5 linked regions of the Nothobranchius furzeri genome follow. The protein of the gene in region 4 purifies or fractionates together with the protein of the main gene of each other region. This does not show direct contact. Links are inferred from orthologs where the notes say so. Each region holds a gene or a part of one and is shown on either strand. Other genes may lie near its edges. The genes, in order: nup107, sec13, nup133, nup43 and nup160.

Region 1 (5,517 bases), on a different chromosome or scaffold from region 4:
TTGCTAATTCTATGGCGTTAGCTATAACGCCCCTGAGGACCTTGTACATCTAGGCCGTACCACCGTTAACTGGCGGTTTGAGCCGTTAACTCCTGGGAATCCCATATGCCGTACCGCCGTTAACTGGCGGTTTGAGCCGTTAACTCCTATATGCCCTACCACCGTTAACTGGTAGTTTGAGATGTTAACTCCTGGGATCTAACGTCTAGCAGCCCACTGCTGTCACCTCGGTTGCTGTAATTAGCTTTTTGAATTTAATAATTTACTGAATTTAATCTCATTCACTCACCAACGCGCTCCAACGGTTCCCTCCTACAGAGGATTGGTTCACTCTGTCGTCTCCACACAAATCTATAAGAATGGAATTAATTTGATAAGCTATTTAAGTTTCCTTTTTTTTTTTAAGTTGCATCGTTAGCTTTTTCTCTTCTTTTTTCTTTACTCACCGCGTTGGTTCCAAGTTCCTAGCTCTTATTAGAAGGAGTCAAGTCCGCCTCTCCCTCTATCTATGCGGCACCCAAATCAGGGTTCTTCACGGCCTCGACCGTTGTTTTTTTTTCTCTCTCTCTCTCTCTCTAACCGCTCAGTCTTTGCTTTCTGTATCTGCGTGCTGCACAGCCGTTTGTCTCTCCTCTCGCTCAGCTGCGTCGCACGGTTTTATTTCGCGGAGGCGGGACTTATTTCTCTCAGCCAATGAAATTTCAGATTCCCACCTGGACCAATAGTATACAGCTTTCCTCTTCTGTTTCTGTTAGTGATGTTCAAGATTCTTGTTTTAACCGATGTTTAATATTAAACTCGTTATTTTAGTTATTCACCCTTCCAATAATTCATTATGAAATTATCTATTAGTTAATTAGATATCTATTAATTAGTATTGTTAATTTCCTTAATTTATATTTTATATTTTATCTAAATTGAGGATGGATCATATTAGTAAGCCAATTAGTTAATACCTCATTAAGGTTCTAGCTTCTGGGTTACATCTCTTTAAAGCGAGTTCTGCTGAGTTTAGGAGCCTTCTTCTATCTAAATGATTCACCTGTAAGAAACCCTCTGAATATGTTCGGGCACAATGAAGCTCAGTAAAAAGCTTCCAAACCCTGAAGAAAACCGTGAAAGGATCTGGAGGAAACCTGGATGCTGAAGCTGAGCAAAGGCTGAGGAAATAAAAAGAGCTGACATTTGGACAGAAGATGCTGCTCTGACCTCTTGAAACCTTTAAAAGATGTCTGCGCTGTCTCAGACCAGCTGACTCCTAACAATAAACGATGTTTATCCCTCCCAAACAACGTCAGTCTATCGCTGTTTGACACAGATTCCTTCAGACGCGTGTGTCTGTGTGTTCAGGTTCCCAGCGAGAGCGAGAAGGTGGTGGTGGAGCAGCTTTTCCAGCGAGACAGCATCGTACGACAGAGTCAGGTAACAAATTCAGATTCCTGGGTGATGGAGGCAGCTTAGAGGACCTTTCTCCAACAGCACTACTCAGCCTAAAACGGCTTGGTACAGCGTGGGTTAACTCAGCACAGCTCACCTCAGTGTTGCTGGTTTTCCTGGCAGCTCCGTGGCAAAGATTGGGTGCGCCCCTCATAGTGTGTGTGGGGGGGGGGAAGGTGCTGGGGAGGGGTACATCTTTACTCGTGATCCGTATTCTACACAGAGACGCAACTCGGCACAAAAATGTCGGTGATGTTGAACAATCTTCTCAGTTTTTGGCTTTTTGTCAGACTCCGAGCCGGGACATGGCAGTGACTCCACCCACTAGCCAGTCAGTGGCTGACAGTGGCGTTTGTGGACTGGGTCAGCGTTCTTCCAGCCACAGGGAACCAGCAACTGAAAAGTTGGGGGACAATACTGAACCGTGCTTTAGGAAAAGGTGGCCAGATCTAACCGCACCCACCCGAATGGCGCTGAGAATGGCTGTTGGAAATTTGCGTCCTCCTACAGATAAATAGATGTGTTTCTGTTGTTCATTCTCACTCGCTTCACTACAGCTGGTTGTTGATTGGCTGGAGAGCATTGCCAAGGATCAGACGGGAGATTTTTCAGATAAAATTGAATACTACGCTAAAAATGTCTGCTGGTAAGTTCCTGCTTTTCTGTTTCTTGTAAATTTTACAGACGCGTGTGTTTAAACATCATTTGTGTTGTTCAGGGAAAACACGCTGCATGCACTGAAGACGAGGATGAAGAGCGGCTCCGCCTTTTCCATTCCTCTGGTCACTGAGCTGGTGAGCCTCTCTTCTGCACCACTAACCACATTTTAAACTCCTCTCTCCGAGCCACAGAGACGAATGATTTGTCTCCTCAGGACCCCGACGCTCCTCTACGACAGCGACGCCCCCTGGTGGATCTGGACTTGGAGGATGACGCCCGACTCCTAAAGAACCTGTTCACCCTGATCCGAGCGGGGTTGACGGAGGAGGTGAAGGAGCAGATATCCGTTCATAAATGTGGAATTTCAACTAGAGGCTTTAACTAAAAATACAATCTGTCTCGCCTCAAACACGGCAGAAGTAGTGAACCAGAGAGCTCTCACGGCAGTTTTCTGGCAAACGCTTCAAATAGAATTAAGAAGTCATAAACATAAAGGTCACAACCTTAAAGGTTTTTATGGACATGTAAGAGGCTAAGACTCCAACTTGTTTAGCATAGAAATAGTTTGGTAAGATTTGGACGCAGACTCACACTAATAAACGTCTCTGAAGGGAAAAGTGAGCCGTTTCATTTTGATCTACAGGCTCAGAGGCTGTGCAGACGCTGCGGTCAGGCCTGGAGAGCTGCGACTTTAGAAGGATGGAAACTTTACCACGACCCCAACATGACCTCAGGTAACACCTGACCTCAGAGAGGCTGTGTGCACCGCCTACCCGCTCCACACAGGTCCGGTCAGAGCTGATGTGAGCGGCTGTGAATTTGGATGGTCCTGCCCCTGCCACAGCAAATATTCTGTTGCCTAGCAACCGCGGTGACGCTAAACGAAGTGAAAACTTAACTTGGTGGAAACTACTGCACACTCCATGTTTGCTTCCCCATCATCTTTATTCATCATGCTGCCTCACTGCCACCTAGGACTGACTGAATAGTGTTTGGTGTTCGCCTCGAGAGCAACCTGCTGGCTTGATGGTCATCTGTAAGTCGCTTTGGACAAAAGCGTCTGCTGAACACATAAACAAACTTGGCACATGAAGAACTACAGTACCCACCGTGCAAGCTCGTTTATGATTTTTCTTATAATTTTTATGGATGTATTTAAAAAAAACAAACATGCAAACACAACAGCTTTAAGCTTTTTATGTTTTTAACCATCAGATGTTAATTTTCCAGCATTTAAAACTAATCCTCTCATTGATACGCAGTGAAAATGGAAGGATGACGCACCTGGATTTGGACGCAGCCATAGTCCACATTTACACTCCGACACTTAACTCGTTCACTGCGACTAAAGGCGTCTTGCATTTTTTTACTGTGTGGGCGTCGGACGAGCCCCCGCACCGTGAGAACAAACATCCCAGCTCTAAAGCTGATCTTCATCCGCGTACGTCACACGTCACGTGATCAGGAAGCAGAACATCCATGTGTTAGGAGATCGTTTTGGGCCGCTGCTGTAAAAAAAGTGAGGCGCGAACTGGAAAAGCTTCTGCCGATCACAATTCAACAACGGATTATGAAAGAACGGATAACGCTCGAAACGCGCGGATTCTTCCTGATGTAAGAGGTGAGTCTCCTCTTTGTTTTGGTTGTTTTGGCGTCGACATCATCCTAGCGCGCAGCGTTCTGTGACTCTTAAAAAAAACAGTAAAAACGGTGAGAAACGCCAGCAGCGAATGAGTTAAAGGAATATTTCAGTCATTCTGACATCTTGTTCTATCTCTTAATTTATCCACCGACATCCTGCCTGCTGGTGACATCACTGATTAGGCAGCGTCAGAGGTAATGGCTAGCCACATCTGTAACAAGTTTTCTTGACTCCTCTGAGATTACGCCGACCGTTTTCTCCTGACCTCCTGAAACCCACCTGGATTAATTCTGCCGCTCCTTCTGCTCCTGACGCTCTCTGAAGGTTCCTTGGGCCCGTGTGAAGGATTAGTAAATCATCCTCACTGCTGGTGAAAACTTTACCTCCACCATCCTCTGATGTTTTCTCTCACTCTGGTCTCCCTGCAGGTAGTTCACAGTTGCAGCCTGCTGAAGGAAACCCAAACAGAGGGATCTGGAAGGCCTGTTGCTGGAGGATGGCAGAAGAGGTACGGTGCACTTAAAGTTCAGCTGAAACTGAGAAAAAACAACGGTATGAACCGAAACGCCTGTATGTTTCAGGACCAGTTAAACCGATATGAGAAGGCGATCTACGCCGGCCTGAGCGGAAACCTCAAACCAGTAATTCCATTTACAAAGTAGAGGAGTGATCAGATTGATGCGTTGACCTGTGGAGGTGACTGGTGGTTTTTGTTCAGCTCCTTTCAGTGTGTGAGTCATGGGAGGACTGTGTGTGGGCCTACTTCAGAGTGATGGTCGACTCGCTGGTAGAGAAAGAGCTTATGTCGTCGGGCATGGCCCATCAGGAAGTAGAGTCGCTACCCCGAGAATATCTGGAGGCCAAGTAGGAAACACATTAACTGGAAGAAAATATTCCAAAATAAAGTTTCTGACGACTGTACTGTCTGGGGTTTTCTTCACAGTTGGACCATGGAAAAGGTTTTTGAGGATCTCCAAGCGTCAGAATCAAAGGTGACGCTCTCGCCGACCGATTGTGTGGATTAAAATGAGAAATGTCTGACAGCGCCTCATCCTGAAGCTCTTTCTGTGTTTATGTTCAGAGAGTTCTGGATGAAAGTAAAGAACATCATCACATCATCCAGAAGTTTGTCATCCTGGGAGATCTTGACGGTAAAACAACCCAAATCTTTGTTGTTGTTTTTTTCTTATGGAGGCTGAAAGGGATCAAAAAGCTGCTGATGGGCACGGGCCAGCGTGTTCCCTCGCCCGGACCCGGGTCACCGGGGCTCCCCTCTGGAGCCAGGCCTGGAGGTGGGGCACGATGGCGAGCGCCTGGTGGCCGGGCTTTTACTCGTGGAGCCCGGCCGGGCACAGCCCAAAGAGGAAACGTAGGTCCCCCTTTCCATGAGTTCACCACATGTGGAAGGGGCCGGGTGGTAGCTGTATGCAGGGACCTTGGAGGTCTGATCCTCGGCTACAAAAGCTGGCTCTCAGTATGTGGAATGTCACCTCTCTGGTGGGGAAGGAGCCGGAGTTGGTGGGTGGGGTTGAGATGTTCTGACTAGATATAGTCGGACTCACCTCGACGCATGGCTCTGGCTCCAGAACCAGTTTCCTTGAGAGGGGTTGGACTTTCTACCACTCTGGAGTTGCTCCCACTGAGAGGCGCCGAGCAGGGGTGGGCATACTAGTTGCCCCCCATCTTGGTGCCTGTACGTTGGGGTTTACCCCAGTGAACGAGAGGGTAGCCTCCCTCCGCCTCCGTGTGGGGGGACGGGTTCTGACTGTGGTCTGTGC
Region 2 (5,987 bases), on a different chromosome or scaffold from region 4:
TGTAGTTTCTCCTTTAAAAGCTATATTTAAAAAAAATATGTATCACATTTTTATTCTGTCGGGCACAACGCCGGGTTTATGTTTACATCTACCAGCCACTGGGCACCATTAAGCTAAAGCACCCGCTGAGCAAGGCGAGGCTGGGACTGTGTAAAATGGCTGACTTGACAAGTCAAGCAGCTGATTCTGAGTCCAGAAGATGTTCTAATGATGAATAATAAACTCATTAGTAGAAATTAGTCTATATTCTGTACGATTTGTCTCTAAACACGGTGCTGGAACATGTCAGCAGTGAACCAACATCCCAACGGCTGGAAAATTAGTCCTGTTGTTGCAATACCACCAGAGTGTCCCTATTCCATATTTAACATTTAATTTCTCTAAATATTTTCTGAAACATGTCATCTATGGCTCCACCTGGTGATGAGGTGAAAAATTCAACATGAGATTTCTTTAGAAATACAACCTGCCCCCCCTCTCTTCCTTTTGTATCTTTCTTTCTCTTTCACCTCTGACTCCGTGTCTGGTCGGAATTACAAAGCATTCAAAAACAATAACAATAAAGTTTTAAGTACCAGGTGTGACATTAAAAGCAGACGCTTTGATGCTCCACCTGAGAGTAAATCTGTAAGGCTTGTCACCAGCATTCAGACATCAATTCTGTTTGCTTCACAGCCAGACAGGACACGGGGGGGAAAAAAAAGAAAAAAAAAGAAATCGGACCTGGGAGCAGCTGGCGATGGTGCTGGTGGGAAGACCAATAGAAGGAGCCCAGCCGACGTCTCTGACCCAATCACTGTGCGCCTCCAACTTCTGGTCCTCTTTCCACTGACCGTCTTCCTCTCTGCAGGCAGAACATTATTCAGGCCACAGAATATTAGCTACATCTGACGTTCACTGTTGAAAGTGTTCTTTTTTTTATCCATACAGGATGACAGATTTTCAACAGCAACTTACTTCCAGAGTTTCACCAGGTTGTCACATCCGCCAGAGACGAAGCGTTTGACGTAGTTTGGTTTCTGACCTGATGGCTGATTGATCAGGCTGCCTGGAACTACAGCAGGAGCCCAGCTCACTGCATTACAGCCAATCTGAAGCAAAAAATAAAGCTTTTAATTATTCTAAAGATACACTTCACGCCCCAAAAGACACAGAAACACTAAATTAGAAAAGGTGAGACAGAATAAAGTTTAAAAGATTGGTGACAACTTAGGAAAACCATTTCATTTTTAACTCACGGTGTGTGCGTTGCTGATCTTCTTGACGTCCCACTGCTGATCACCAGTAAATGTGAGGAGGGAAATTGCTCCATCTGAACTGCCACAGGCTAGGATTAGACCAAATTCATACGGACCCCAGCAGACTGAATTCACTGCAAACACAGAGACAGAGTTAAGGACGAGATCAAGTTGTGTGGAAAACTATTCAGTCAAACTGATCTCTCAGCCCCAATATATGAACATGAATTTCTTTGTAATTTCTTAAAAAGGAAGGATCAATTAGAAAGGGAAAAAGAAATGTACTCAAACAAAAGAGAATGTTGTAGAAACAGAACTTAATCTGAATATTTCATTTTTCTAAAGGTGTTGGCAAAAAAAAAGAGAACATATCTGAAACAAGACGTGTACTTTGGTGCATTACACTGACCTGTCGGGCAGAAGAAGAAATAAAATTACAACATTAAGATCAAAACATTTGTTATCTGTAAGAAAAACGGAACTTCTTCCAGCATTACTAGCACCTGAACTTCTTTCAAGAAGGCCACATGGATTAGCAGAATGAGGAGGAGGAGCACATTTAAACCACTAGAGGGATATTCAATTCCGGTCCTGGAGGGCCGGTATCCAGCACATTTTAGTAGTTTCTCTGCTCTAACACACCTGATTCAATGGTTGAATCACCTGTGCAGCAGCTCATCTGGCTCTGCAGAAGCCTGTTAATCACCTGCTGATTGAAATCAGGTGTGTTGAAACAGTTAAAACTAAAACATAATGGATACTGGCCCTCCAGGCTTGGAAATGAACACCCCGGCACTAGAATAATGGAGAACTCTACCTGATGACTCGTGTCCAGTGTACTCATACATCTTGTCCCAGGTGCCGTTCTCCTCCTTCCAGATGACGACTTTGCGGTCGTATGAACAGGATGCTAGAATGTTGCCGAACATTGGATGAGCCCACGCCACCTGCCACACAGGGCCCTCGTGGCTACATGATGCAGGACACACACACACACAAATAAATAAATAAAAATACATTACAGAACAGGTGAAGATTAAATCTTTAGGAAATAAATGGAAGTGTATTGACATTCACTTGACAACTCTACTTACGTAAATTTCTGTGCATATTCCAAAGCTTAGATCTCTTACCCTCTGAGGTCTGCCACCAGGATCTGTCCACCATTGCGGACGTCAAAGATCTTAACGGTGCGGTCAGAAGAACACGTGGCGAGTCGAGTCCCGTAATAGTCCATTTGGGCATCATGCTGAAACAGACAACAAAGCAACACCAGGAATGTTGGTGGGGATTTCTATGGGGCAGCAAAAGCACCAAACAATGGAAGCATGACACCTGGTTTATTCATAAATGAACTGATGGTGCTAAACTGAAACCCATTCCTTAAATCTTTCACCATCACATAACAAATGTGCGGCATAAACTGCATCATTTGAATGTTTGTTTTGGTTTTGATTTCCTTAAATTGAAACATTGAGAACATGATTAATCTTATCTTTTTAGGGAGAATGTGAATACGTGAATGATTTCGGCTAGATTTTCCCTACAACTAAAACGAAAATGCAAAACACGCCGATTAAGTGAAGTTTAAAGACTATTTAACAAATTTTCACAGTCAACACTACAGAATAATCCACATAGCACTGTTTCTGTAATTATTACACTATAGCATCTGGTACAGTTAAGACAAACATTTTGACTGAACGATCTAAAAGCACTAAACTAATTAAAACAATGTGCTACTCCTTTCTCAAAACACACATCCCAACAGTATTACATATTTAAATTAAAAACTGCTGCTTTACACAGAACACTTACACTTGTGGTACTGAATGAAGATAAAAGCTACAGCCGCTAACTGTTAGCTTTTAGCATCAGAGATAAAAATAAAACTGGATAAAACATAAACACTTACGATCATATCCTCGTGTGAAGTGTCCACCGTGTTTATAACGGAAACCTGCAATTGACAAACAAATAAGAACAAAATCAAGCAAATATAAAACTATATCCAGACAGATTAGCCTCCTGCCGTTAGCGATCGTGCTAATGGATTGACAGCTACCAAGACTAGCCAGCAAAATGTAAACATAAAATCAACATCCTAGAATATTTTGAGCTGAAACTAAAACAAAAAGTGACGAAATTCACCATGGCTGTGGCTAAACCGTGTAAACAAGAAGCCCCTGTTCTCTATCGACTAACTTCACAAGGTTCACAATTCCGACGTGGCAACAAGTACAGAAGCCGTTTCCTCCACCGAGTCCCACCTCACTTCCTACCGGGTAAAACAAAACGCCAAATGATAGTTCTGCGTGAATTAAAAAAGAAGAATAATAAAAACTTTAAAAACGCTTCATTTAACAAACAAACAAACAAAAAATAATCAAACAATAAAAAGGAAACAGTTTATTTGAGCTAAAAGCTAAAATTATTGATGGAAACTTAAATGTACAAAGACCCTCTATACATAGAATAGAATAGAATAGAATACCTTTATTGTCACCATACAGGTGTAAAGTGAGATACAGAGCATCTCCTACTCAGTGTAAAACAAACATACTTGGGACACACACACACACACACACACACACACACACACACACACACACACACACACACACACACACACACACACACACACACACACACACACACACACACACACACACACGCACACACACACAGTACATTTACACCTGTCTGTAATCATATTATAATTACTAATAAAATAGTAACATGAATTCACGTAAACAAATAGAAAAAGACAGAAAACAGAACACATCGATACATTACATTCCCTTTATCATTTCAATACAACATTAAAACAAAAAAAAAACATTATTTTAAGAGGAACAAGTGCTTCTTTTTCAGGTCTCCTAAATATCAACTGGTAATAATAGTCAATTTTTGAAGATGTCTCTCAGATTGTGATTTTTGGACAGCAAATTATCACGTCGTTACCCCAGATGACCACAAGGTGACGCCATAAACCCACAATAGTCTGACCTGACAGCTGTTTTTATCCTAACCCACCAAGGACCAGGTTCGGCCTTTTACTGAGGTCCTTGCTGCTGCAGATGAGGGCTCAAGCAATTCTGTATGACCCTCGCTACATAGCTGCAATAAACACGTTCGTCTTCCTTAGCGAGGCGCTGATGGGTGTGGATATGAGGCACCAGACCACGGTAACACACACACACACACACACACACACACACACACACACACACACACACACACACACACACACACACACACACACACACACACACACACACACACACACACACACACACACACACACACACACACACACACACACACACACAAATTATTCCATATAAATATGAAATATCAACCTGACTGATCTTTGAATGTTTAATCAGAAGAATATAGTTACTTTTACTTGTTCAGGGACCATAAACACACTTTGTATTACTGTAATTCAGACAGAGTCAGGTATATAGTTTATGAAATTAATTTAATTCTTTTACAAAATTAATATTTATACATGACAAGATATGAATAACGAGATGCGATATTGTGGATGTGAGGTGATGTAATGTGATGTGTGAGGTGGTAGGATGGAAGCTAGATGTTTTATCAAGCCCACTGATAAAACATCTTATAGCCCCAAATTGCAATTTTATATGAAATAAATGGTTTATTGACAAGCAGCACACTTACATATTTATCTAGTTAAAAAAAAGTAAATAAATTCCCACTTGCAGCACTTGGATCCTCCACCAGAGAGTAGAAGATAAACAAGATGTTCTTTTTGGGTTATTTACATGAATCACATTTTTGGTTTATGTTTTTTCTCCTCACAGTAAAACATCATTTTTTTCTTTTCCTTCAGCTGTTTTATTTTCCCATTTCCTTATTTTCCCTTCATCTTTCTTCCTCTTCATCCCTCACCCTTTCCTCTAGGCATCATCTTCTCCCTGACAGACAAGTCCACCTCCTCCACCATGAGGATCGATGCTCTCTCCTTTAACGTCCTCCTCCTCTCACACCCTCCATGAACCTTTTAGCCACACATGCAGGTTCTTCTATGTGGTTCCCTTCAGAACACGTTGAAGCTGAATCTACGTAAAATAAAAGCCTGGCTAGTGTCACGGTCTGCTTCTGCGTCTCCCCTCATGTGTCTCCTTGTGTTCTCCCCCATCTCTAGGTTCTCCTATTGTGTCTCCTAGCGCCCTCATGTTGTCCTTGTCTGCATCTTCCTCACGTGTCTTCTTGTGTTCCTCATTTGTCCCCAGATCTGCAGCCCTCTAGGTTTCCCTCCCCAGGTATCCCCCTCCCAGGTCCAGTGCTCCCGTGGTCCCCCTTAGTCACGCCCCTGTAGTTTTTCTTTCTGTAGTGTTTTCCTTTAGTTTCAGCTGTTCATTTTATTAGTCTCTTTAATGCGTTTTTCCCACAGGTGTTTGTGGTTTTCCTCCCCATTAGAATATTAGTTATGTTTGCTGCTCTTCTTGTCTTTAGGTTTTACTCTTAGGTTATGTTAGTTTCCTCCCTGATTAGTTAATTGCTTTCACTTGGTTTCTCTCCCCACACACCTGCAGCTCATCTCCCTCTCATCCTCCCCAGTGTATAAAACTCTGTCCTTGTCTCATAGTTTTGTCGGTCCATTGTTTGTTTCAGCGTTGTTTTGTCCCCCTCCACTTGGTCTCTAGGTTTGTGCTCTTTAAGTGAGCTTTGGTCTCCAGGATTTTAGCACAATGGTTTTTTGGCTTCCTTGCCCCT
Region 3 (5,112 bases), on a different chromosome or scaffold from region 4:
AGACCGCGTTTTGACACAACCAGAGGGAAACCGAAAGACACGTTTTTATACCGACACGGAGATCTTTCCTGGAGGACAACGGGAGGGAGGGGGGGGAGAGAGAGAGAGAGAGAGAGAGAGAGAGAGAGAGAGAGAGAATAAGTATTTGGTCACTTCAAACAAGTAAAATCTCTGGCTCTCACAGACCTGTAACGTCTTCTTTAAGAAGCTTCTCTGTCCTCCACTCGTTACCTGTATTAATGGCACCTGTTTGAACTCATTATCTGTATAAAAGACACCTGTCCACAGCCTCAAACAGTCAGACTCCAAACTCCACTATGGCTAAGACCTACTGTGAAGCATGGGGGTGGGAACATCATGCTTTGGGGCTGTTTTTCTGCTAAGGGGACAGGACGACTGATCCGTGTTGAGGACAGAATGAATGGGGCCATGTATCGTGAGATTCTGAGCCAAAACCTCCTTCCATCAGTGAGAGCTTTGAAGATGAAACGTGGCTGGGTCTTCCAACACGACAATGATCCCAAACACACCGCCCGGGCAACAAAGGAGTGGCTCCGTAAGAAGCACTTGAAAGTCCTGGAGTGGCCTAGCCAGTCTCCAGACCTCAATCCCATAGAAAATCTGTGGAGGGAGTTGAAAGTCCGTGTTGCTCGGCGACAGCCCCAAAACATCACTGCTCTCGAGAAGATCTGCATGGAGGAATGGGCCAAAATACCAGCTACTGTGTGTGCAAACCTGGTAAAGACCTATAGTAATCGTTTGACCTCTGTTATTGCCAACAAAGGTTATGTTACACAGTATTGAGTTGAATTTTTGTTATTGACCAAATACTTATTTTCCACCCTGATTTACAAATAAATTCTTTAAAAATCCTGCCATGTGAATTCATGGATTTTTTTTCACATTCTGTCTCTCACAGGTGAAGTGTACCTATGATGTAAATAACTGACCTCTGTCATCATTTTAAGTGGGAGAACTTGCACAATCGGTGGCTGACTAAACACTTTTTTACCCCACTGTATCGGTTCCGTTTCTGATGCCAGATATTTCTTCCGCTTTTGTTTTATTTATTTTGAAAACGGTGGTGCTGTTGACAAAGTTAAAAGCAGCAACTTCCTGACCAATCACAGGCTTGCGGTCTACATAACTGATGAATATTTAGAAAGTTGTACTCGACTCCTGTTGGAGAGCCCTTGCAGCCAATCCAGACCGAGTAGTATAAACGAGGCATTTAGCCACATCACAACCTGCTTCTCTATGGAAATTAAACTTATAAATTAAACTTGCTACATTTTTGTGGGAAAAAACCCAGAACAATTCAGAAATAAATGCATATTTATTTAGAAAATGAAACATTTGAAAATATAAGATGAAAACGAGAAAGTGAAAAATGCAGACAAAGCGAGTCGGCTTTGTTGAGAGCATGCAGGGTCGTCACATTTGAGCCTGAAGGTAATGTTCATAATTAGCTCGAAGAACAAACTCAAAACAAGGTTTGGATTTCAAAGAACTCAGCTCATCGAGTTCGAGCAGCTCTTTGACTTCGGGCAGGTACGTCTGCAAGGGAACACCTGAAACAAAGGTGGGAGAGGTTTGTTTTATTAAGCTACAATTCCAGGTGGCAATGGGAGAGATATGTTGCTTTTTACACATTATAGACAAGGCAGCTTTATTTGTAGAGCACATTTCAAACACAGAGGCAATTCTATGTGCTTTACTGTTATCAGGACATGAAATGAAAACACATAAAAACAAATTAAAACACACACAGGTAGAATTACAGTTTAGAGCTAAAGGAGAAGACAAAGTTGCATCACAGATTACAGCGGAGACGACGCATGGTAAGAAACTATTCATGTAAAGGCTGATGAGTACATGAGGGTTTTAGTTTTAAACAACACTAGGGCTGGGGCAGGTCTGAGGTCATGGGGAAGCTGATTCCATATGTGAGCAGCATAGTAACTAAATGCATCTCCACCATGTTTGGTTCTGACCCGAGGTTCTACCAGCTGATTGTTTCCAGGGATCTCAGAGCCCTGTTGGGTGTTTATATACAGGAATGAGATCGGACGTGTATTTTGGTCCCATGCCATTGAGTGATTTATAAACTAGTAGTAGCACTTTGTAGTGTATTCTGTAGTTTACTGGTAACCAGTGTAGGGATCTAAGAACAGGAGTGATGTGCTCCGTTCCCATACATACAAGTCTCCGCTGCTTCAGACCAACTCAAAATCCTTTCCTGGCTGAACTAGTCTCCTTCCTTTACTAGGCATGGGTTCATTACATGTTCTACCACTTTTACATTTATGGAATTTCAAACTACATGTTTTTGCTGGCGCCGTCTACACTCAGTGAACCATTTATGTCGTGATTATTGCTAGCGGAGTATTATATCCTTTAAAGCACCAAGTACAAACCTTCTTGTATTACTTTGAGGAGGATCTTCACAAAGATGCTGTCCTTAGCTGCTTCTATAGGATCGTCGTTCCCATCAACAGAGGACCAGCTGAAAGGCAGGCAGAAGCAGTCAAACACATGGAAGTCAATCAGAAGTCATCCATCAGTGAGGCACTAGGAGGCATCACCCATGGCCTGGTTCCACTCATCATTAACAACAGAAGAGAGATTGTTTCAGAACTTTGCATCAGAAGTCCAGAGACTTTGGATCTTTAATGCTTTTTCATCGATTCAACAAATCGCTACAATAAACAAGTTCATGGACGTGTTGTCCACTTCCCTCCACCGTCGCTTCATTTATACTTTTATTTATACTTCATTTATACTTTATAGCTTTGGGTCATTTAAACCAGTGGACAACCTGGACCTTTTGGGGTAAATTTGCAGCCATTTTCAAAACAAACGGGGGACTCTCTCACTCTTTCTTTGAGAGCTTCATGGCTGTTGCCAGTTATGGATCAGCACCAGAACATTCTAGATGACAAGTGAAGACGAGTCACTCACAGTAAGTAGACATAAAGATAAAAAACATTGATTGTACTATCTATTTGTTGGTACCTGAAACAATAACTTCAGAAAGATTTACAGACGACTATTTGCCTCTAATTCACTGTTAGCATTGTTAGCTTAACGTTAGTCTCTAGCCTGCTTCACCCAATATTAGAGTAAAACACAAAGATGCCATGGCTTCTTAGGGGTACATGAAATCACTTCTTGGTCGCTCCTGTTTACTGGCTTTGTTTTTTTTCTAAACAACTCTAGAGCTTTTGCCTGCCGGGTCAAATTACAAGTCCCGGTGCAGCAGCGTTAGCTCGCTAGCGACTCGGCAGCCCCGCCGGCTCACAGATTGTAAAAACTGACAATCCCTCCAAGCCGGCTGAGATGGAAATCTGTTTCGATGTAACCTTCTTTCCAACACCTCTCCTCGCTCACAGGAAAAACAGACGGCCTTTGCAGCGCAGCGCATAGCCTCAGACCCCACCTATCCCCACCATGGACATGTGGTTCTGCAGCATCTGCAGCAGGATGTCCAGATTCAGACACATCACACCTTTCCCTCCACCACCTTTAGGAACCTCGGGGGACTATAGACATGCTGTTATGATGTCATCTTTAGTGCAACAGCTCATCATGCAGTAGCTTTATTTTTACTCCTCACTACTTTAGTTTTTTTATACATTTCTGGTACACCGATTTATAAAAGGGGGACCGCAGGATGTGTTCCAACTACAGGGGTATCACACTCCTGAGCCTCTCTGGTGAGGTCTATTCAGGGGTTCTGGAGAGGAGGGTCCGTTGGGCTGTCGAGCCTCAGGTTCCGGATTAGCAATGTGGTTTTCGCCCTGGTCGTGGAACACTGCACCAGCTCTATACCCTTAGGGGGGTCCTGGAGTGTGCCTGAGAGTTAGCTTCACAGCCAGACAGGACACGGGGAAAATAAATAAATAAATAAAAAGATAAAAGCAAGTCTAAGTCTAAACAAAACCTGGCCAGCAGCCAAGCTGAAACATGAACAAACGTCCCTTAAACAAAGAACATTTGACCCGGTGAGATTGTTATTAAAACAAACTCTGGGTATTTAAAAACTAAACTGCTATTTCACCAGTTTTACAGTTTAATTTCAGCCTAAAGTGGGAGGGGGTGATGAGGTGTCGGAGGTTTGTGACTACTGAACCGATAACCATACACGTGTCAGAGCTTACTCATCTCGTCTGAGTGCTTTGCCGAAGATCTCACACTTCAGAGCATCAATGTCTACAGAGTCCTCCTGCAACGCAAACAGAAAAGCCTCATGAGCTAAAGCCAGATCGATCCTCAGCAGTCCGACACATGAGCAGGAAGTCACCTTGTGGATGTACTCGAGCAGGTCCAACGCCTTTTTGAAGTCGTACTCGTTGGCCCTCCTGTTGTCATCACAGATGTAGAGCTGCAGAGAAAGACACTTTCAACACAAGCGACCGGCTCCTGTTGTACTTCAGCAGGACCGCCAGCTGGTGACTTCTTCCCAGCAACGATGCTCCAGGAAGGCACGGCTTGCAGCAGAGCTGAACGACTCTGATTTCAAACCATCACGTGATCGTCGACGCTACGGGTTTGTTGCTCGCATCCGACTGACTCAGGATCTGTAGTGTCAACTATTTTACACGTCTGGAACACACCAGCTGCGAAGTGGAGCGCTCACGAAATTTGTGTCAACGAGTGCTTCTGCTCACGCCTACTGTCTTCCGACCCCCCCACCGCACCCTTGTGCCCTTGCTGCGTGTGTGTGTGTGTGTGTGTGCGTGCGCGCGTGTGTGTTCATTTTCATCTCTCTAGTCTGTTTAGATACACAAAAATGATCACATTTATCAATTGCAGTGTTTTATTTTGAAAATTTTCTTTTATTTTGTTAAATTTACCGGCTTGCCTCTTCTGCTTTGGTTCGACTTCTTGTCAGAATTGATGCGGCTCCGAAAAAAATCAGAGCTCACACCAAAACGATCGCTGCGCGGCGCGAGCCTCCGTGGCGCTTCGCAGCGGATGTGACCGAGAGCGTAGGTCAACAAGGGCGCCGATCAGAAGCGCTCGCCGTCCCACTGCGCTTCGCGGCGCATCGTCGCACTTTCTTCTAATATGTTCTGGGCGTAAAACACCCCCAAGGCCGTAAACGCATTT
Region 4 (6,041 bases):
TCATGCCTCTCAATCCTTTTGTAAATAAATAACCTGTTTCTGTCACGCTTGGAAGTCATGTGTTGATAAAAAAATAGTTATGATTGTTTATCGTTTACTTTTGAGTGAAATTCGGCGTACGTAAATTTTAAGGTAAAAAATGTCTCGATTGGAACTGACTTCATTAAAAGACCCCATTCCGTGTGTATAGCCTCCTTAGCACTCTATGCTAACATAACGCTAATTTTACGTAAATTCTCCGGCGTTGGGTACGGATTTTTGTCACAATTAAACGTTTATAAGGATAGTCAAAAGAGTGGGCGAATACTGAGTTTAAGAGTTTTAAAAAGGATTAAAATCAAACAACACAGCAGTTTTCAAGCGGCCTGTGTGTAATAGGAATCCATTTGATGCTATTCAACAACAGGTTGCGCATTAGCCTGCTAGCTCCGATAACAACAACTCACCAAAGTCCGCCGCTGTCGCTTTTCCTATTATTAACGGACAGTAGTGGTTTGCTGACCCTCCTCGGCGTCGAGGACGCGATTTGAAGTTAAAATGCCCTTGTTGTTCCGCGCCGACTGGTTCCTAGTCTTGTTGAATTCCTGGGATATCTGAATGACAAGTACAACAGCTAAGCTAACGACGCACCATCAGACGCTGGACTTTCACAATAAAAGTCAGTGGAGAAATTACTTTTTTGCTAAGTTTAGAACAAAATAACACTAATAAAACTAATGAAGAAAATTTTAATGCTTTTTTTTATAAGTTTTTTTTTGCTAACCTGTTAATGAAGTCCAAACACATTTCACAGCACAAATCTTAGAAATAAAAAAATAAGAGCATTAATATGTATAAAAATAAATCAATTTCCCTTTGGGTGAGCACATAACATCTATTTGTAAATTTACAGAGCAACATAAGAGCTCACAAGGCTGACTTTGACATTTTTATGTTGGTAGGTTTGATTTACAATTTTACTTGATTTGTCAGTATAAAAAAACGTAACATCCTGAGACAATTTGAGAAAGTTACATTTTATTTCTTTATTGTTTTTTAAGTAATCTGTACAAAACATTATTAATCTGAACAATTGTGTACAGAATGACATACAAAAACACTAATCCATATTCTGTCACTGCAAAGAATGAAGCATTGCATCAGACACAGAGGTCTTTCATTGCGTAGGTATATTGGCTTTTTGTGTAACAAAAAAAAAGTCTTCCAATGTGTCACAAAACATCAAATTAAAATTTGCATTCATGTATTTATTAGTCACCTCCAGATCTTTTAAACTGGGACCTGTTTGTTGATAAAAATAGCCTCTCCATCAGTTCCACAAACTAAGCACTGTCCAAGCACATCCAAGCTGTTGACAGACAGCGTCTGGCTGGGCAGCATGTGGGTCGTCTCCAGGCGGCTTTTACTGGAGTCTCCGTTGAGCCAGGCACTGATGAGGGACTGGTTTCCTCCAGCAAGGGCCATCGCACTGCGAGAGGTCACGCTGCTGTTTCTGCTACCTGGAAACACAACAATAACACTTTTTACAGTGAAATTACGACAAATAGTACAACATGACAATGTTTAATAGACTGACCTGGTGTTGGACATTATCAGGAAATTCTTTGTTTATTTAACCCTAAATAATGTAAACTTTCAGTAAAACATTCAACTGGATATTTTCTTGATTATGGCTTTTGTGTTTCCATAGAATCTTTATAATTAAGAAAATAGAAGAAGTACATAGGCAGCCTTTTAAACTGAATACCAATAATAATAATAATAATGATTATTATGATGAATAGGACTTGCCTTGTAGAAAGGAGGGCATGTCTGAGTGGGAGGACGTCTCCCAGTGCAGCAGCGATCCATCCTCTGAACACGTGAACAGGTGATCTGGGTTGGTAGGGTGGAAGTGGACCTCCCACACTGCCAGGAAAGTTAGACAAAAAGCATTAAAAAAGTGAAAAATATTTAAATATGTGTGTAAATTATATGTCCATTAAATAATTAAAAATGTACATCTTACTTTCAGCTGAGTGGGCCTCCATGAGGGATGAGGGCATGCTGCCTTGCCTCACATCCCACATACAGAGCATTCCATCCTGGCCTCCTGTGGCTACAATGTGCTGCTGGTTTGGATGTCTGTCAATGCAGTACAAAGGAACTCTGTCTCCTGACCTGATTGGAGGAAAATTAAAATCCACATACATCAGCAAAATAGTAGAATTAAAAATGGGGAAAACGTGCTAAAGCGGATCTTACAAGGACAGAATCTGTGATGCCGAGTTGCTCTGTTGTCTTAGATCCCATAGCTTTATTTGTCCGATGGAGTTCACAGTCAAAATCTCCGTCGTCCTCAGGTAAGTCACAGCATGAATCGTGCTGCTGTCAGCATTCTCTACCAAATGTACCCGCAAAAGCATGTTGACTTGACACCGAGTTAAAGTGTACAGAGTTCTGAATGGGGTGGTTTAATCTCACCTATGACTTGAGCCATACAATCCTGGTCGGCTCTGAGGACAATAATCCTGCCGTCCTCCCCAACTGTGATGATCTCAGGGCTGCTGCACACAACTGCAGTGCAGGGAGCATTGTCACAGGGGTAATGGTGCGCTTTCACCCACTGCTGGGAAACTGAGATTGTCTGATGTAAGAAGAAAAAATGATTTTATAAATAAACAGCAAAGGCAGCAACACAACCTTCATACAGGAGTTGACATCTTTTATGAAAGCTCTACTGCACCTGACTGTTGTGATGGTGGCGGAAGATGGTGACTGCTCCCGTTGATGAGGCCGTGACGATTCTCTCTTGATCCAGGAACTATAATCAAGTAGTATAATCAAGTCTAATTTGGAGGAATTGGACAGCTGAAGCTCGACTAAAACTGAGTCATGCAAAACAATGTCCCACGCACGTGTCAAAATTTCAACAGAATGGCTGCAAAACAAATGAGTCTGTGTTGCAAATCCTCCTGCTGACTATAACAAGGCTGTGCACTGAGAAATCCTGCAGACCTACAAAGAAACAAAACTATTGATGCATAGAACAACAGATTTGCCTTCTGTATTAGCAAAATTCTGAAATGCGCAGAAAATGTACTTTATTTGTTTTTATGTGCATCTCTGCAGGGTTCATTGTTGTTTTAATTTCTTTAAAGTGCGTACAGCACTTTGGTCTGTCTTCTGGTCGATGTAAAGTGCTTTATAAATAAAGTTGATGGTGATGAATAATTGCATTATTAGTATGTTATGACATTATTGTTACAGCGTCTTACCTGGAGGCCAAGAACATCTCCATCGTGCTTGTTTTCACAAATAAGCTGCGGATCTCCTTCAAATCCATCTTCCAGGCCCGAATTTTCGTAATTACCCACGGACCAAATAGATATCTTGTTTTCCTACAGAAATAATTTTTTTTTTAAATAAAGGCCACATCCTTGCAAAAAAAATGACCAAAACGAACCTGACAGACACACAAAAAAGCAAACTATGTGTAACAAGTGTTAAATCCTTTTTGACAGTTACAACGTGTAAGTGTGCATAATCAGGAGAAACACAGAACATTTGAAAAACTGGGTAAATTTGGTTCACCAAAAATATTCAACTAGCCAACCTCGTTGTCCCACGATCCCGTCGCAAAGATTTCTGGTTGTTGTAAAAACGAAGACGACACAGGACGCCATCTGGCCTTGCTGACTTTTTGGGACACGTACTTAGCACTCTCCATGAGAACAACCAACGTTTCTGCTGCCTAAATACGAAAAATATTCTTATTGATGTTAGCTTAGCTCTATGTACGCACCCACTAGCTTTAAACGTAAGTACGGTGGCTCAACAGGATCAAACAATCTGATCTGCGTTTCTCGCAAGAAATGTGAATTTGTACATTCCGCCACCTAGCGGTCGTCTCCGTTGTTACTGCGGCAAAAACCTGATAAAGCACTGCATGGCTGAGGAACGTGGCTTTTATTCCCTTTCGTCTGACGCTGACTTTGATGCATCATGAACAGATTAATTATATTCTAAAATGACATATTTTTCTGCTTGGTCGTGCATCTGAGAGGCGGCTCTGCTCTGTAAAATCATTTGGATGTCTAGTGACGTATCCGCCGCTACGCCGTCTGCTCTGGAGGTTGTCAGCTTCTTTGGTAAAACTATTGGCGCAGGCGCGGCACTTACAGCTGCTGTCTACTTACTCCGTAAAGTCTGCTTAATAATGGCCTGGAAATCTGGAGGAGCCAGCCACGCAGAGCTTGTCAACAACCTTCGCAGTGAGTCCGGTTGCAGGTTTAAAGCGGCAGCAGCGATGAACTTCACCGCCGCGTCGCCAGAAAACGTTGTAGTTTGGAGGCTGGGGTTAGCTTAGGAGCGGTAGCTACTAGCAAGCTATGTTTATGGTGACCCAGCGTCTCCTCCCGCCTCTCCACCCCTTTTCCTAAACCACGTTTTTCGCTGTGGGACCATGTGTGGGACAAGGCAACGCTTTTGTCACAGCAGGGGGGAAAAACCCAGCAGAAATGACATTTCCGTTTTGTTGTAAATCGCAGAAAAGTGGTGTCCTGTGGGAAGTTAGCTTAGCATGTTAGCAGTATGTGCGTCATTTGAGATTTTATGCTACTGCCCACTGTCATTGATGTCTGTGTCTTCTACTGGACTTCAATGTGAATGACAGTAACAGCTGTACATGTCCGGATAGTTTCTGCTGAGCTTTAATACTCGGATACATTTAAATAATGACAAGTTGCTGTATCACTGCAGCTGTTAGCTACATAGCTCTGTGCCAAAGCCCACGACTCATTTCCATTTAAGAAGCCTGATTGTTGAACATTTTCAAATTTCTGTGCATATATTTTAGCTGATGTCTTTCCATGGACATTTAATATCCTTTCACAATATTTTAATAAGAAATCGATCAACCTTAGTCGATCTGCAGAAATCAAAACAGTTTCTTTATTGTTTGCACACATTACAACCTGCAAAATGTGTTTTAAATTATCAAACAAAAAAGTCAGAGTAATTTTGAGAATTTTGTAGGAGGGTGTGCCTAGCGTCAGCTTGGCTTTCTGGGCTTATAGACACGACCTATTTTTCCAGTTTATATCTAGTTACCAGTTCAGATCTTGTTTTTTTATATTCTAAATTAATAAAAGTTTATTCATGTAACCAGCCTGTCAAAAAGACAAACTATGAAGTAAAGAAAACTGTAATGCTGGCATAGAAGTAGGGATGTAAAAGTCAACCGAAACCAGGAACCGATACCAATGCAGTTGCCTGAAAGTGGCTTCACCATAACTTGTCATTTCTGTTCACCTAATATTTCAGTTTTGTGATCATTTCTATGAATATATTTTATTTTTTATCTACCTCACAATCTTTTCCTGTTGAAAGCAGAGAAGAAAATAAAACCTGTATTCCAATTCATTGCATTATTTGTGTGGTAGAAGTATCGGCGAGTACTCAGATCCAAGTATCAGTATCGTATCGGTTTGGACAAAAGTGGTATCGGTGGATCCCAAGTATGCTAAAAGACATACAGTGTCATTTCCTGGTTCTCCAGGACAACAATCCAGCACATTTTAGACATTTCTGTTTCAACACACCTGATTAACAGGTTTCTCTGGACCTTGATGACATGTCTAAAAGGTAATATAACCACTGAAAATCATTACAATAGCAAAAGCATCCTGGTTATTGTTCCAGGAAGACCAGGATTGGACACAACTAGTGCAAGAGGAACCCCTGACAATTGTCTTTATGGTGTTTTTGTGATCAAATAAAAGAAAAAAATGTCCTAACACCTTCTGTTGCCTTTGCAAAATACTGTACATCAGTAAAAGATGGATGACTTAGCTGTTACGTGGTCCAGAGTCCACTATAATCAACATCATGGCTTCCTCTGCAGTCAGTCAATGATGACTACTGTAAAAATATCTTTAGACTCTTTTTCTAGTGCATTTAGCAAATGAAGATGGGATATCTGCAAGCGCGATACTGCAAATTAATTCTCACTCTTAAGTATCTACCAGGTCTATTTGTATTGTGTGCAGTCTGGGATGTTA
Region 5 (6,018 bases), on a different chromosome or scaffold from region 4:
GGTGGGCTGCTCTTTGACTGACCCCTCACCTAGGACCTGTTGCCATGGGTAACCCTACCAGAGGCGTGAAGCCTCAGACAGCTTAGCTCCTAGGATCATTGGGACGCTCAAACCCTTCCACCAAGATAAGGTGGCAGCCCAGGGAGGGTGCTCAAATGCATGATGTTTTATTACAGGGTATCTGCAGGTTTAAGGGAGCCACATTTAAGACTTTTTAAGACCCTTTTTAAGACCACTTTGACCAAAATTAAGCTATTTTTTTAAATTAAATTTAAGCTATAATTTCCAGCTATTGCCTGGAACCGGTGCTAACCACGTCGCGAACGTGGCATTAACCATCCAGTTACCATTAAACTTGCACTTCCCCATGGCGCAAGCTCCTACTAGCTTAACCAGCTAATGTGCTCATCTAAAAATAGCCCCCTTTCACAACCAGCTGAGTGTGTACGGTTCCGCTTACGCCATTATCGTACACAAAAATGCTGAACACCAACTAGAAATTCACGAAAATTTCATAGTAATAAAATAATTTTGTTTATTGGGTTTTTGGTGATTTAAGACCTTTGGAAACTGCATTTAAGGAATATTTGTCATTTTTAAGGATTTTTAAGGCCTTAAATTTGGAAAAGCAAATTTAAGACTTTTTAAGACTTTTTAAGGACCCGCGGATACCCTGTATTAATGCGTTGATTTTTTTCAAATTAATAATCTTTATTAAGGATTTCAATTCCACTGCTCCGTTGAGAGTTGTGTTGTTTTAGAACAGGCTTGATCTACAGATAAACACGAACCCTTTAGATATTAGAGTTGCCTTATACCAGTGGTATTCAATTCTGGTCCTGGATGTCCGGTATCCAGCACGCTTTAGTTTCAACTCTGCTTCAACACACCTGATTTCAATCAGCGGGTGATTAACAGGCTTCTGCTGAGCCTGATGAGCTGCTGCACAGGTGAATCAGAGAAACTACTAGAACGTGTTAGATACCAGACCTCCAGGACTGGAATTGAATCCCCCTGTCCTACACCCACACACAGACCTGCAGGATTCAGATTCTGGACCAGCAGAACTTTACATGCTCACCAGAGGATGAATCGGTTGCTAGTGACCGACAGCAGCTTCCCACTCTCTTCATAATGGAATGCCCCGGAACTATCAGCAAATTTGATCCCAACTGTTGGAGCGCTCACACCTGCAGAAAAAAAAAAACACAGATATGAAGTCACCTCGAAGCTGAACTAACCAGCTGCCTGGTCAAACAGCCATTGTGACTAATAATGATGTGAAACTGTTTCATACAACAACTAATGTTGGTAAGCTCAGAAAGGACACAGAATTTATAAATATAAAACTAGTGCAAAGTCAGAAAAGGGTAGAATGCCTTCTCCGGGTCAGGGATGAGGTCCTGCCCCAAGTGGAGGGGTTTAAGTATCTCGGGGTCTTGTTCACGGGTGAGGGAAAACTGGAGCGTGTCTGCAGTGATGCGGGCGTTGTACCGGGCTGTCGTGGTGAAGAGAGAGCTGAGCCAGAAGGCGAAGCTCTCGATTTACCGGTCCATCTACGTTCCTACCCTCACCCAGTGTTGGGAGTAACGCCGTTTAAGTATAACGGCATTACTAATGGTGTTCTTTTTTAGGTAACAGAATAATCTAATTAATTACTTTTCCCACTGTTGCAACGCCGTTACCGTTACTGGGGATGGAAGGTTGTGCGTTACTATGTTCTTGTCGAACGTTGAGCAGCAGCGTGAGGCTTTCTGACCGCCACACTTCAGCTGCAGCCAGGAAGAGAGGTGTCGGTAACGCGCTTACAAACACGATGATGATTAGCCGGGTGGGCGGAGACCCTCAGTGTTCTCACTGTCTCAGTTGCTGCCTGCTGTAGACCCAACTGAGCAGTGATGGGAATAACGCCGTTTAAAATAACCACGTTAATAAAAAGATATATATATTTCTTTCTGTAACGAGCAAACTAATTAATTACCGTCTTAACAAAACGATCGTTTCTGTTACTGATAAGGAAATGCGTGCGTTAAGCAGCGCGGCAGCGAATCTGCGGGTCTGCAGCCGTGTCCTTCTTAGCGTGACAGCGGGACGTCCCGAAGGTCCGCTCACCTGTTCACCGCTCCGACGTCCTGATCTTCTACCTTCCTAGATCATCCAGCTGTAACCTGTTTCTGATCATGTCTTTAGTCCCGCTGTAACACTGATGCATCAGTCTCAGACGGCATGGAGCTCAGGTGTTACTAGAACTACCTGTGTGTGTTTACCACCCAGCTTCAGCTCTTCTGTGGTTGGGTCTGACCCAAGTTAGTAAATGTAAGTCCTCCATCAGGCTTGTGCCTCTTCTAGTGTCATTTTAAAGGATTTTATTTATTTATTTAACCGTTACTAGATTAGCAGCAACAGAAATGCTGCTAAAAACACACAATTATGTGAAGCTGGAAAAATTAAAATGCTGTGCAAAATTACATTTATTTCTGTAATTTAACTAGACTGAGAGACCATTTAAAGGCTCGGGAACCTTTACAGGTGTTTCTATTTGCAATTTTAAATTTTAGCTGATTGGGGTCTTGTTAAAAATCACACAGTGACCTTTTAATAGTCTAGATAAGTGTAATGTTCCTGTTAGTAGTTCCTCCTGTTAAGTGCTTATTTATTTAAATCGTTCAGGTTTATAAAAAACATTTAGACATTCATTTTATTATGTTCCAATCATTAGTCATTTATATTTCACTATTGTAGTAACTCTTGCACGCTTTAATGAAAAAGTAACTAAGTAGTTATTTTTCTTGGTAATTAGTTACTTTTATAATCTTGTAACTCAGTAACTGAGTTACTTTGACAAAGTAATCAGTAACTATAACTAATTACTTTTTTAAAGTAACGTTCCCAACACTGCCCTCACCTATGGTCACAAGCTTTGGGTAGTGACCGAATAAAAAAGTACAATAAGTATACTTTTGCAACGAACGTGTTTATTCTCTTGGCTAGATCCATAAATGTAAATCTGCTCATAAGATGCCATATTTCCCTTATTCTCTTAAAAATGTATAACTATTTATAAACAAAATTTCTCACTCGTCTAACAAAAAGTCTCAAAACGATTGATGCTTGTGGATTTTTGCACGTATTTGTAGAACTAACAGAGATGGGAATTGTGGCATCAAGTCATCTCCATGTCGTGTTTTTGTTCTGCTCTGCAACAAAATCAGGTGATCTCAGATGAACCTGGCTCAATCCACATCTCTGACCGTTAATCCCTCTGGCTGAATGTTCACTTACAGGTATTCACCTGTGTCGTATACGTCATGTTCTCCTGGTGTAGACTTGCACTTCGCTAAATAAAGTCCTTGACACTTCTGCAGGATTAGGGTTGAGCTTCCACATCCTCGTGATTTTATCTTGAGGCGCTCTATTAAAGATCGTCTTCTTTCTTTCTGCGTGAAGAGGACTTACTGACTCCATAAAGAAGACACCGTAATCCAGCCTAGCTGCCTCAGGTTGGGTTACACCGCAGCTTTGATCTGCGGTGGGCTGTTATGCACCTACATACCCCTCAGAATGATGGCAGTTGCGCCCCTGTTCAGTATGAGTAACAGGTGAGCAACCTTTGAGTTGACCATACAACTGTTTCACTAGAGCTCACCTGTTCGGTGCAGCTGCCCTGAACATTTCACATCACAGAGACATGTGAGCACGCGCAGAGCGAGAGGACAGCGTAGCTAGCCGCGGCTAGATCAGCGCGGGATCCAGTTAACGTGAATGGAACATTAAAAGTAATGCCTAACTGGACTTCATTAATCAGAACTCACACTCACCTGGACTCACTGTGACTTCACGGAACCGGCGCTCTGTTTCCCGCTCAAACCCGCAAAACTCCACGAAGCTTCTCTCCATTACAGCCGCCATCTTCTCCGTGGGGCCACGTGACACTTGAAAGCTGCGCACGCAGCATCTTAGAAACCCAGTGAAATAAACGCCCCACTGTAACCATAGATATGTCTGTGGACGCAACGTAGCAGTAGCGGGCCGCCATCTTGGATGGGTTCCCAATCACCCGCAGAGCATTTATTTCGACTGAAGGTGTTAACTTCAAAACTCATTTTACGGATTTTTTTTAACAAAGTCAGATACATGGTATGGCATGATAAGAAAACATAAATGAATTTTTTTCACATTTTAATAAAAAAACAAGTTTGTTAATTTGAAGGTCTGTCTCTCTCTCTCACACACACACGCTGAGGCTGAAGGGAAAACGAAACCCTGATTTTCTATTTTACTCTATTTTATTCATTTGTTTGAGTGCTGAAGGTTACGATAATAGCCTAGTTCCTAGTTCTCATTTCTCCAGGTGAATGTGCCGCCATACCAAGTCAAATTACCCACTGTGGAATTAATGAAGTCTATTCTATTCTATATTTGACTTTGGCACTTTCCACGTCTTCTGGAGATCTGTGGAGTCTCACATAAATATCAGGACCACATGCTCCTCCAGCTTCTCCACCCGAGAACCTGCTGCTGCCACTTTGACCACTAGGTGGCAGCAGATGCTTCACTGGAAAAGACTGCACCGATTACTGAATTTAATGGACAGATGCATTTGTGTTGCGAATGGCGGTGTGGCTCAGAGATGAAGCAAGGCGCTCGCTCGGCAGCCGATTCAAATAGAAGCAGACTTTATTGTGTCAGCTCTACTGTACATGTGTCATCTTACAGCAGCACAGTGACTCGTACAAAAAGATAACTGGAATGTTTGTTCAGTAATACTGATGTGTACCATATAAGGAAAGCAGTCTGTTACATCATCACCTTCAGAGGTATAAAGTACCAGTTCACCTGAACAGGTGAGACTACAAGACGATCCATCTCCTATCTGAGGAGTCCGTGCACAGCTCCATGCGCATCACGCTGCGCTCTTGCTTGGCAGCTCAGTGCTGTTGTGTCTCGTCTTGCGTGACGTGCCGTCGTCCCGCGGCCGTGCCTTCTGTAGACTGGACATGGCGGCAGTGCGCTCGATGTCGATTAGCGCATAGGGTTCTGTGCGCCGCGTGGGTGTGGTGGGGGGCAGCGGGGAGGTGGGGGTGCGGGGTGTGTGAGGGTTGCTGCCATCAGAGGCACCTTTGTTTCCACCACTGCTGTCCATCTCCACCTCGATGTAGTTGAGCGTTTTAGTCGGCTCCATGTGGCCCGGCAGAGGCGGTCGGCGGAATTCAAAATTAAAAATGGTGGGGCAATCCGCTCGACGGCGGGCTGTGTCAGGCCGGTGCGCGCTGAGTGGCGCGGTCACGTTCTCTGTGTTGACATAGTTGTGAGAAGACTCGAGGGCAGCAGACAGAGGGTGGGAGTAGGGGTGATGCAGCAAGCTGTAGGGGGCGTGGTTAAAGCCGTTGAGCGATGGAGTTTTCAGGCTGCCGTCGGAAATCTCCTCCTCTTCGTTGCTCGGCTTCCTGACCTCCCAAACCGGAGGCAGCGCTGGCAGGTTCTCATAGTCCAGCAGGGCAGTGCGTCGTTGTGCAGAGTTGTTAGCGTTCTGCAGGTCAGGGGTCAGGGGGGGTGGGCGGGTGTGACGAGGAGCTGTAGGCGGGTTGAAGGAGGAGTCATGGGAGTGTGTGGGCAGAGGCTCAGACTCTGCAGATATCTGGGTAGGGCCATCAGTTTCTCGGGGCTCGGTAGCCTCTTGCAACTCCTGCCGCCTCCTTTTCTCCATCTGTTGCTTCTGAACAGGGGTGGGCCCAAGCACGAAGCGCACCCCCTGAGGCTCCAGCAGCACCTGGGGCTCTGGCTGGGCACTTGACTCCCCATGATTCCTAGGAGGTGGTGGTGGTGTGGGAGGACTCATGGCAAGCGGGGAGGCAGGGCTCTCCAGGGGGGTGGTGACTGTTAGCGGACTGGGCTGGTCCTCCAAGAGTCCTGTAGTGTTCACATAGGTGTGCACCTGTAACACAAACATACACAGCATTACCACACAGACCAGGTGGGTGTCAGACCAGTTGATGGGTGGGGAACTTACCGCCTCGT

What was found.
Region 1: the proteins of nup43 (region 4) and nup107 purify together in Homo sapiens (affinity purification with mass spectrometry; 8 studies listed by BioGRID and IntAct, counting the BioPlex papers as one, with this or other methods). This does not show direct contact. The link is inferred for Nothobranchius furzeri from reciprocal best matches to the Homo sapiens genes NUP43 and NUP107.
Region 2: the proteins of nup43 (region 4) and sec13 purify together in Homo sapiens (affinity purification with mass spectrometry; 3 studies listed by BioGRID and IntAct, counting the BioPlex papers as one, with this or other methods). This does not show direct contact. The link is inferred for Nothobranchius furzeri from reciprocal best matches to the Homo sapiens genes NUP43 and SEC13.
Region 3: the proteins of nup43 (region 4) and nup133 purify together in Homo sapiens (affinity purification with mass spectrometry; 5 studies listed by BioGRID and IntAct, counting the BioPlex papers as one, with this or other methods). This does not show direct contact. The link is inferred for Nothobranchius furzeri from reciprocal best matches to the Homo sapiens genes NUP43 and NUP133.
Region 5: the proteins of nup43 (region 4) and nup160 purify together in Homo sapiens (affinity purification with mass spectrometry; 5 studies listed by BioGRID and IntAct, counting the BioPlex papers as one, with this or other methods). This does not show direct contact. The link is inferred for Nothobranchius furzeri from reciprocal best matches to the Homo sapiens genes NUP43 and NUP160.

What each region holds. Positions count from the first base shown.
Region 1 is NC_091741.1:38,077,708-38,083,224, reverse strand, and holds part of nup107 (nuclear pore complex protein Nup107), read left to right. Parts: intron 1-1,350; coding exon 1,351-1,422; intron 1,423-1,994; coding exon 1,995-2,083; intron 2,084-2,155; coding exon 2,156-2,231; intron 2,232-2,311; coding exon 2,312-2,425; intron 2,426-2,740; coding exon 2,741-2,831; intron 2,832-4,167; coding exon 4,168-4,247; intron 4,248-4,320; coding exon 4,321-4,380; intron 4,381-4,457; coding exon 4,458-4,603; intron 4,604-4,682; coding exon 4,683-4,731; intron 4,732-4,820; coding exon 4,821-4,890; intron 4,891-5,517. UniProt on the Homo sapiens protein: Plays a role in the nuclear pore complex (NPC) assembly and/or maintenance. Required for the assembly of peripheral proteins into the NPC. May anchor NUP62 to the NPC. Involved in nephrogenesis.
Region 2 is NC_091743.1:73,558,104-73,564,090, forward strand, and holds the start of sec13 (protein SEC13 homolog), read right to left. Parts: upstream 3,523-5,987; 5' UTR 3,393-3,522; coding exon 3,390-3,392; intron 3,199-3,389; coding exon 3,154-3,198; intron 2,488-3,153; coding exon 2,372-2,487; intron 2,208-2,371; coding exon 2,056-2,207; intron 1,373-2,055; coding exon 1,239-1,372; intron 1,092-1,238; coding exon 958-1,091; intron 845-957; coding exon 724-844; intron 1-723. UniProt on the Homo sapiens protein: Functions as a component of the nuclear pore complex (NPC) and the COPII coat. At the endoplasmic reticulum, SEC13 is involved in the biogenesis of COPII-coated vesicles.
Region 3 is NC_091747.1:67,766,277-67,771,388, forward strand, and holds the end of nup133 (nuclear pore complex protein Nup133), read right to left. Parts: intron 4,385-5,112; coding exon 4,304-4,384; intron 4,226-4,303; coding exon 4,161-4,225; intron 2,507-4,160; coding exon 2,418-2,506; intron 1,572-2,417; coding exon 1,435-1,571; 3' UTR 1,318-1,434; downstream 1-1,317. UniProt on the Homo sapiens protein: Involved in poly(A)+ RNA transport. Involved in nephrogenesis.
Region 4 is NC_091742.1:11,413,347-11,419,387, forward strand, and holds nup43 (nucleoporin Nup43), read right to left. Parts: upstream 3,930-6,041; 5' UTR 3,710-3,929; coding exon 3,596-3,709; intron 3,381-3,595; coding exon 3,258-3,380; intron 2,804-3,257; coding exon 2,726-2,803; intron 2,627-2,725; coding exon 2,464-2,626; intron 2,381-2,463; coding exon 2,245-2,380; intron 2,161-2,244; coding exon 2,009-2,160; intron 1,909-2,008; coding exon 1,788-1,908; intron 1,500-1,787; coding exon of another isoform or gene 1,496-1,499; coding exon 1,270-1,495; 3' UTR 1,001-1,269; downstream 1-1,000. Other genes in the region: pcmt (protein-L-isoaspartate(D-aspartate) O-methyltransferase), read left to right, coding at 4,073-4,253. UniProt on the Homo sapiens protein: Component of the Nup107-160 subcomplex of the nuclear pore complex (NPC). The Nup107-160 subcomplex is required for the assembly of a functional NPC.
Region 5 is NC_091744.1:79,861,630-79,867,647, forward strand, and holds the start of nup160 (nuclear pore complex protein Nup160), read right to left. Parts: upstream 3,965-6,018; 5' UTR 3,910-3,964; coding exon 3,819-3,909; intron 1,191-3,818; coding exon 1,082-1,190; intron 1-1,081. Other genes in the region: fibroblast growth factor receptor substrate 2, read right to left, coding at 4,904-5,935, 6,011-6,018. UniProt on the Homo sapiens protein: Functions as a component of the nuclear pore complex (NPC). Involved in poly(A)+ RNA transport.